Rattus norvegicus: one gene and its partner. The protein of the gene in region 1 interacts with the protein of each later gene in a biochemical or structural test. Links are inferred from orthologs where the notes say so. Each region holds a gene or a part of one and is shown in the gene's direction. Other genes may lie near its edges.

Region 1 (4,337 bases):
TACTCCCTTAAACTTAGTTGGTCCACTGTCCTATGACTAAGTACACATTTACAGAGAATTTTTTTTAAAAAATATTTATTTATTTATTTATTTATTTATTTTTAATATTAATATTTATTTTATGTATGTGAGTACACTGTAGCTGTCTTCAGACACACCAGAAAAGGGCATCAGATCTCATTACAGATGGCTGTGAGCCACCATGTGGTTGCTGGGAATTGAACTCAGGACCTCTGGAAGAGCAGTCAGTGCTCTTAACCACTGAGCCATCTCTCCAGCCCCCGAGAATTTTTAAACTTTTAAACTCATCTTTAGAGGCGTTTTTTTTGTTGTTGTTGTTTTGTGTGTATATCTGTTTACATTGTATGTGAGTATGCACATATATGTTTACATTGTGTGTGGATTTAGGTTTATGTGTTTATAGTGTGTATGTGAGTGTGTGTGTTTACAATGTGTATGTGAGTCTGTGTGTGTTTACAGTTTGTGTGAGCGTGTGTGTTTACAGTGTGTGAGTGTGTGTTTACAGTGTGTGAGTGTGTGTGTTTACAGTGTGTGTGTGCATGTGTGTGTTTACAGTGTGTGTGTGCATGTGTGTGTTTACAGTGTGTGTGTGCGTGTATGTGTGTTTACAGTGTGTGTGCGCGTGTGGGTGTGCTTACTGTGTATGTGTGTGTGTGTGCTTACTGTGTGTGTGTGTGTGTGTGCTTACTCTGTGTGTGTGTGTGTGTGTGTGTGTGTGTGTGTGTGTGTGTGTGCCGGTATCTGAACTGTGGTATCTGAAGCAGCACACACTTTTTTACCCACCAAGCCATCATCCCTGCCCCAGTTTAGAGGTTTTAATCTAAGATTGAATGATTCTCTTGCTCGGGTGTGTGGCATATTGTGGGGGCAGCACACAGCGGAACAAAATGCTTAAATCATGAACCAAAGAGCAAAGACAACAAGGAGAGAGAACCTCGTGGGGCCTTTCTTTCTCCCCTTGAGGGACACACTCCCGGTGACCATAAAGCCTCTCCCAGATCCCACCTCATAGATGCTTGGTCATCCTCCTGGTGTTATTAACCCTTTAAAACTTGAGGAATTAAAAATTTTAAGATCCACAGTGTAGCAGGCCATGTAGTCTCCCCTTCAGGGCCGTGCAGATCTCTGGGTAAGATGCTGTGGGCTTGTCTCTATGCTTTAGATGGTTGCCTGACCTCTGAGGGTACCAGGTTGAAAGGTGGTGACTGTGGCTTTTAGGTTGTCAAAGAAGGAGGCACAAGAGGGGAATTCCTGTCCTGCCCTAGACAGACAGGCTAGTCAGGGCAGACTTCCTGGAAGAGGAGGCAGAAGCACACTTGACCAGCCACACAGTTCGGGGCCTATTTGCTCGTTTGGGGCAATTTCGAAGAATCTGAGTATCAGGGACTGGGAAGGAGGGCAGGACAAGGGGTGCACCTGCCAGCTGCACACTGGTGTTACTGGGAGGCTCTGTGACCTAGGCAGCTTTTCCACACAAGGTGACGTGTGGAATCAGGAACATGTACACAGTTGCTTTGAGTTTTCTTCCTACCCTAAGACCCATGTTTTTCCAACGTGTTGTTAGTGTCTCTGGGAACTTGGTGTTGTGTGGGGACTGTCGTGCTATCCTAGCATTGCCTGGGTCAGACTGAACAGGAGGGCTTTGCCATAGGGAGAAATGTCCTTTTCCACAGGTCTAGGGTATAGTGATGGGGAGGTCTGACCAGGCAGGCCCTGAAGATCGCGGGATGTGTCCCATCTCTGTGTATCAAGTCATGAGGCATGCGCTAAGCTCCAAAGGTCGCCTCAGCCTTGGGCATATGCGATCGATTGGATTCACCAGCTCAGAGCTTGCTTGGTAGGGAGGAAGAGAGAGCACCTTGTCTTGAGCAGAGGGCTCACGACCTTTTGACCAAGATGGCTTTGGGGGACCGAGTACCCAACATGCATTTGGTTGCTCAGGTCTTCACCTGCCTTCCTACTCCAAAGGCAAACCCAAGAGCTCATAGGGAATGTGGGGTTCTGACCTAACCCTGCATCCCTGGAAGCCTGGGTCTGGTACCTCAGCATAGGCCCCAACAGAGAAGGGCCAGCGCTACTTGGGGAAGTGGTTGGTGGATGTCATAGTGCCTCGGTGTGGAGGGAGGCAAGGAGAACTAAAATTTCAGAACTGTGGAGTTTGCTGGGAGCTGGGCTTCAGACCTGGGCTCCTCCTGGTTCCGCTACTGATTTGCTCTGACTTTGGGCAAATGCCTTCACCTTTTCAGCCTCAGTTGCCCCATCTGTAGAATGGATAGAATTGGGCTAAAGGCAGAATGGCAAAGAGATTTCATTTTACTTGCCAAAACTAACTGCCAGCCTTTGATTTCTTGGGATCTTCTGGATCTGCCTGCTGCCCGCGAGTCTGGGGCTGGAGGTTCCTGAATGTGCTCTGCAGGTGTGCAGACCCAGGCCTACTGTCCCCACTTTTCTCCTGGCACTGATGCTGTATGAGTCTCCTATCTCTCTGAGGTCCCCACTTTAACACCATCCGTTGTCAACTCCATGGCACGAGGCGTGCCGCCTTTCCTGAGGCAGGATTGTGTCTCTGTGTGGGACGCAAGTCGGCTCCCTGAGCATGTGCCTGAGAAAGTGCCATGGGTTCAGGGTAGCTCGGTGCCGTAGGTACTTTGATTTCTGTCAGAGGCATGCAGAGCTGCTGCTCTGTGACAGTTTTCCACGGTAACAGGCAGCTGGTGAATACTCTGTGAAAACGTCGGGCCCAAGGTGCCTCAGCAGGTGAAGATGCTTGCCACCAAGCCTGAGGACTTGAGTTCAGTCCCCAGGACCTGGTTGAAGGAAAGAACCAACTCCTACAAGTTGTCCTCTGACATCCACCCATGTGTCATGGTGCATGTATACATGTGCAAACGCATGCACACACGCACACTATAAATTTTTAAAATAATTATTTTATACCACAGCCCTGTGAAGCTGGTATTATCCCTTCCGTTTTACAGGCAAGGAACCCGAGGCCCAGAGAGTTAACAGAGCGGCCTTCTGAGACCAAGCCTGTGCACCTCTCGCCAGCTGCTCTCCTGGTCCCCAGTCCTGTCCCCAACCTTCTGTTCTTCTGGCTCCCCTGAAAAGCCCACGGCCTCCCGTTCTCTCGCCCCTCACAGGTTTCCATGTGATCCCCACCATCTCGAGCATCGTCCCGGAGAGCTGCCTGCTGATCGTAGTGGGGCTGCTGGTGGGGGGCCTGATCAAGGGCGTTGGAGAGACGCCCCCCTTCCTGCAGTCGGACGTCTTCTTCCTCTTCCTGCTGCCACCCATCATCCTGGACGCAGGCTACTTCCTGCCTCTGAGGCAGTTCACGGAGAACCTGGGCACCATCCTGATCTTTGCTGTGGTGGGCACGCTGTGGAATGCTTTCTTCCTGGGTGGCCTCCTGTACGCCGTGTGCCTGGTGGGCGGCGAGCAGATCAATAACATCGGCCTGCTGGACACCCTGCTGTTCGGTAGCATCATCTCCGCGGTGGACCCGGTGGCCGTGCTGGCCGTCTTCGAGGAGATCCACATCAATGAGCTGCTGCACATCCTGGTCTTTGGGGAGTCCCTGCTCAACGATGCCGTCACTGTGGTGAGGGGTCAGGGGCCACAGCACACGCACACGGGGGCAAGCGGTGCCTTATCCTTCCACTAATGATGATAAAGACGGCCAGTGTCCCCCATGCTTGCTGTGTGTTGGGCACTGCTCTGAGCACCGGGACATAGATTTTCTCTCCTAATCTTCAGGACAACCCAAGGAGAGACGAACTTTCTCACCTTACAGAACTAGAAACACCCCACAGAAGTTAGACAGCTTCCTAGAATGTGGTGGGGCCAAGATTGGAGGCAGTGTGCTTGGTTCATTCTGTGGCCCTCCAGGGCCTGAGCCACTGGCCTAGTAGGTCACTTGCTTCCTGACCAGCTTGCATTTGATACTGTGTTGCCCAGTTACTGGCCTTCTTCCCGCCTCAGTTCATAGCCCATTTAGTCTCTGAGGAGCCTTTTAGCTCTTATGTTGGCTGTTTAAGAATTTGGTCTGTGCAGGGTTCTGAGCAAAGGAAATGAAAGGGCTCTGTTCCCCAGACCTCTAGGATGTGGTGAGTGTGAGATTAGTAGGACTGGGTTGACTGCTTGGTTTTCTTGTTTGGTCAGTTTTTTTGAGACAGGGTTTCTCCATGTAACCCTGACTGTCCTAGAACTTCTTCCAGACCAGGCTGGCCTTGAACTCAGAGATCTGCCTGTCTCTGCCTCCTGAGAGCTGGGATTAAAGGCGTGTTCCACCGCCACCTGATTGCCTAGCTGACTAC
Region 2 (4,708 bases), on another chromosome or scaffold:
CTGAGGTCCTCCTGAGAGCTCACCCTGGCTGTTACCACTCCACCCTCGGGTCTCTCGCACTCCATCTGCGTGAAGGCGGTGTCTAATCCCCGTTTGGAGCTTAAAGACCTAGTCGGGGCCCTGCACACAGTAGGACATCAGGAAACACACACTAAATGAGTGAACAAATGCACCAGTCAAACCGTCACTGTCTTTCCTGAGGACTCTTCACAGCCCCGGGGTGCAGGTGCAGGCTCTCCTTGGCGACCACACCCCAGCCTGGTGAAAACAGGCCTACACAGATCTGGATCCCGGAGGAAGACGGGGTCTCGGCAGAAAGATCAAGCACGGAGGAGATCCTCTTTGACAAGAAGCCCTAACCAGGATCCAGACACGAAACTTAGGTCGCGGGAAGTTTTAGGAACCCCAACATCCCGGGACCTGGGGAGCCCTTTCCTGCCCTCCTCCCAACAAAGGTCTGTCTGGGGGTTTAGAATTCTTGGAGCCACAAATGGAATCCCCCTGAGGTGGTCCAGCCTACTCAACAGCAATACCCCTCAGCCCCCACTTCCTTTGCCTCGGGAGTGGGGACAGTTTCCGTAAACTCTGGGCGGCTGCAGGGAGGACTGAGGACCTTCAGGGACGATCTCCTGGGAGGATCTCCAGGGACAGACCCAGCTCCCCGGAGGCCCAGAGTGGGTGGTAATCGGGGTTTCAGCGATGGGGCGGGGGCTGCAAGAGCTCCCAGGGCCCAGGTCCTGGGTTGGCTAGAGTGGGCTCCTGAGAACCCCAGCACCAAGGATGTGGGCGCCCTCACCACTAGAACTAGCGAGGTCAAAGATCCTGGGGACCCGGCACTTCCAGCCAGGACAAACCCTTAGCAGCTAAGCCGGACGTCACCAAGCAGAGCAGGGCATAGCCCGACAGCCCTAAAGTTGAATTTCTCTCTCTGGGAGCACCAGCCCCTCCTTCGTCAACTGCAAAGGATCCCACGGTACCCCGACGCCTTTCTCCCTGTGATCCCTTCCATGAGCATCTCACCGCGCCCCATTTGGAGATGGAGGAACGGTGGTTAGACCAGTAGCAGGACTGGCCAGTCAGGATCGCCTATCTCTGAGCTTAGCGGGTCCCCGGGACCCATGGGTCCCACTTTCTCCACTCAGTCCACGCCTGTCACCGGTGGCGCGCGCTCCTCTGGGCGCCCACCTGGGTGCAGGGCGTGCGGGGCCGCGGCTTTCAGACCAGGCTCACTCGCACGCCCTTCCTCTGTCCGGGTCGCCGGGGCTCCGCCTCTGGACCCGGTAAAATGGACTGAAGGATGCCGATCTCCCTGCTCGCAAGCTTATCCCGTGGGGTTGCGGCAGGGGCATAACTGCGTCGTCTACCCCCACCCCACCCCCCGCTTCCCGCCCCCGCGGCCGCGAGGGAAGCGGGCGAGCGCTAGGACCGCGCCGCTCCGCCTCCCGCCGCTATAAGAGGCCGCTCGAGCCCCACGCGGAACCGGCTCCGTGCCGCTGTCCCCGCGTCTCCACCGGGCTCGAGCTCAGCGCAGCCCAGGCAGTCCCCGTCCTGCGTGGGGCGCCCGGGGCCCCGCGGCGCACCATGGGCGCTGCCCACTCGGCGTCCGAGGAGGTGCGGGAGCTCGAGGGCAAGACCGGTTGTGAGTACCATACGGTGGCTGGGCACCTTCGCCGGCGGGGACCGTCGCTTTCATGGCCCCGCTTCGCGCCGCCGCGCTGTGTGACCTTGGGCTAGTGGCTGGCCCTCTCTGTGCCTCTTTCTCCGGCTGCTTCAGATGGGTTCCCGCCAGCCGCTGTGCGGGCGACGCCGCCGGGAGGGGTTGGCGGGGACCCCGGCCTTGGTGGGAGGGTGGCCCGGGAGGCGACATGACCCAAGACTCTCCCGGGCCAGGGCGGAGCCGGGCAGGTGGCGCGGCTACCAGGGCTGGCAGCCCGGGAGAGCGCCGAGCGCGCGGTGCACCCGCAAGTCTGCGGCTGGGGATGAGCGGGGAGGAAAGTTTGGAAGTGGCGGGACCCGGAGGAGCCGCGCGGTCCGCGGTGACCTTAGGCGGGGGTCACCCTGCCGCCTCCCCGTGTGTCCCCGCTCCCCGGCTGCAGGCTTGGGCACTCTGCCCAGAGTCCTCCGTGCTAGCCCGCACTCCCCGGACCGCAGAGGCCGGGCGGGGCGCGCGTGGGGGAAGCGCCGGTCCGCCCCGCGCTTGACCCTGGGCTCGGAAGCGACGGGGGGACCTGGACTTGCGCGTGGGCGCAGCTTGCTTCGGTGGCCGGACAGAGCCGGTTGTTAGTTCTGCCAGGGCTGTGTGACCTTGGGCCCGTCAGTTCTGGTCTCAGTTTGCCTCCTCTGAGGAATGGGAGGCTGGCGCTGCCCCGGGAATGCTGCGGCAGGAGGTTGCTGCTGAGTTGAAAGACCCCGGTCAGCCCCACCCGAGAGGGGATCCGGCTGGCACCCGCCTCCCCAAAGCCCGGTGAAGTCATAGAAAGTCCCCAGCTGCTGAGTGTCTACACCGCGCACACGGTATGTGAAGTGTGCAGCGGATCCGCGAGAGTCGTTTGTTCGGCCCGCTAAGGGCGCGCGCCGTTGGGGCGGTCCCGGCGAGCGCCGACTGTAGGTGCGCTGCCGCGAGTGTGTGCGCACCGGGTGCAAGAGGAACGGTGTGCAAGCCCGGAGTGTGTGCACACTGTGTGCAAGCGGTGAGCGTGCACACTGTGTGGGAGACCAGCAGGTGTGTGTGCAGTGTGTGAAAGCTGGGAGTGTATACACACTGTGTGCGAGGTAAACAGAAGTGTGTGCACGATATGTACAGGCATGACTATGTGTGCACACTGTGTAAAAACCGGGAGTGTATACACACTGTGTGCAAGGCAAGCAGGAGTGTGTGCGCACCGTGTAAAAGCCGGAAGTATATACACATTGTGTGGGAGGCAAGCAGTGTGAGCACTGTGTTGAAGGCAACAGAAGTGTGTGCACGCTGTGTGATCGCGTATGCACAGTGTGCACTGCTGTTTGAAGCACGGTTTCACGTTGGGGCTCAGGCTGCTGTGATCTGGGACACGCCCTGCCTCAGTCTCCCCAGTTCTGGGACTGCAGGGCAGCGTCTTCCCCCTCCCCCTTTTGTATTTTCTCTCTGAATTCATTTTACTGACCACAAACCAAAAGTTTCATAAACCTGTCCCGAGGCCCACGTGATGGAGGACGGCAGGAGTCCCCGCCCACTTCTGACTCAGTTTGACCTATTGCCAGTTGCTGTCCCAGCTGGTGTGGGGAGAGCTGGGATTCTGGCCGCAGATTGGGTCCCCACCGGAGCAGCACCCAGGGCCTTCTGGGGGAATTCCAGCGGGCTGTGGGTTTGACAGTGACGGGCTGCAAGGCATGCTGGGAGCCTTGTCAGTTTCCTGGGCCCAGCCTCCCACGGTGACAGATGCTCAGGCTCAGTGGCTGCCTGGAGGTGGCTGGGGTGGCTTCTTCACTTGCTGCCTGGGCTCAGAATTCATTTCTAAAAGGAGTTGGAGGGGAGAATCCCAGGTCCCCACAACCCCAGGAACAGTGTTTCCTAGGGTCCCACAGGCCCTGAAGGTGGCAGGTATGGTTTGAGCACTTTCACCCATTTGGCAAATCTTTATGGACTAGAGTTTTTCAGGATTTTAGAGGATGTGGAGGTGACCCAGAGAAGTCAATATTCCCAAACAGGATGCACAGCACACAGATCCACCTCATTGGCATTAAGTTTCCAGGAACAGAAAACGGGGGGGGGGGAGGGGGGGAGAGCGAGGCGGGGAGGGATAGGCCGGTAACTAAGGAGCCAGTCATGTGACAGTGACCAGAACACTGGAGTAGCAGGTGCCAAGGCCCTGTGGCAGGAGGCAGTTGGTCAGTGAGATTGGCCGATGACACAGCAGTCCTTCAGGCTCAGGCTGCACTGCAGCCCAACATCAGGGGTCCCTTGTGTTCCTGTGTCTCAGTTTCCTCTCCTGTCAGATGGACGTAGCAAGAGTGCTTCCCAGCTCTCAGAGCCATATTGAGCTCTTGGTCCCTGTATCCCTGCTGTGTGACATTCAGCAGGTCACTGCCTCTCTGAGCCTCAGTGCCCCACCTGAGCGTCGTCTCTGAGCAGTTGTGTGGACCTGGGAGGTGACATTAGCGAGGAAGCTACTGGACGTGGCGTGGGATTGGACAGGATCATGATGTGAGAACTTTCGGACGGCCAGTTGGACACCACTGCTCTTGGGCTCGCGTGTACAGGAACCTAGAACTTTACACAACACCCAGTAGGTCTTCACCCACATCTTCCAGGAAGCAGATAAGGCCGTTTCCTCTCCTGAGGGGAACTGAGGCTCAGAGAGGGACAGCGTTTTGCTCACAGCACCACAGCTGGGAGTGGCGGGTTGGGAGAGGGAGAGTTGTCCACCATGTTGTGACCTCTGGGGCAGGAACCGCTGCCCATGATGCATTGCTCTAACTTTCCTCACCCCAGGACCTTTGCACAAGCTTTTCGCTGCCCCTCCACTCTGCACCATCTTGATCAATGTTTGCTATTTATATGGGAGAATCCTCCTGTTACCTCCTCTTGGGTTAAGATTTCAGGGCAGAGTTCCCACCACCATCTAGGGCCCTGAGAGAATTTGCCTCCTTCCAGAAAACTTCCCTGCTTGGCCGCTCCCATGCAGCTTCGGTGGATACCCTCAGACCTGGTCTCCCTTATCCCACGCAT

What was found.
Region 2: the proteins of Slc9a1 (region 1) and Tesc form a complex in vitro, tested with the Homo sapiens proteins (4 studies listed by BioGRID and IntAct, with this or other methods). The link is inferred for Rattus norvegicus from reciprocal best matches to the Homo sapiens genes SLC9A1 and TESC.

Annotation. Positions count from the first base shown.
Region 1 is NC_086023.1:150,897,825-150,902,161, forward strand, and holds part of Slc9a1 (sodium/hydrogen exchanger 1), read left to right. Parts: intron 1-3,161; coding exon 3,162-3,622; intron 3,623-4,337. UniProt on the Homo sapiens protein: Electroneutral Na(+) /H(+) antiporter that extrudes Na(+) in exchange for external protons driven by the inward sodium ion chemical gradient, protecting cells from acidification that occurs from metabolism.
Region 2 is NC_086030.1:44,213,323-44,218,030, reverse strand, and holds the start of Tesc (calcineurin B homologous protein 3), read left to right. Parts: upstream 1-1,490; 5' UTR 1,491-1,581; coding exon 1,582-1,639; intron 1,640-4,708. UniProt on the Homo sapiens protein: Functions as an integral cofactor in cell pH regulation by controlling plasma membrane-type Na(+)/H(+) exchange activity. Promotes the maturation, transport, cell surface stability and exchange activity of SLC9A1/NHE1 at the plasma membrane.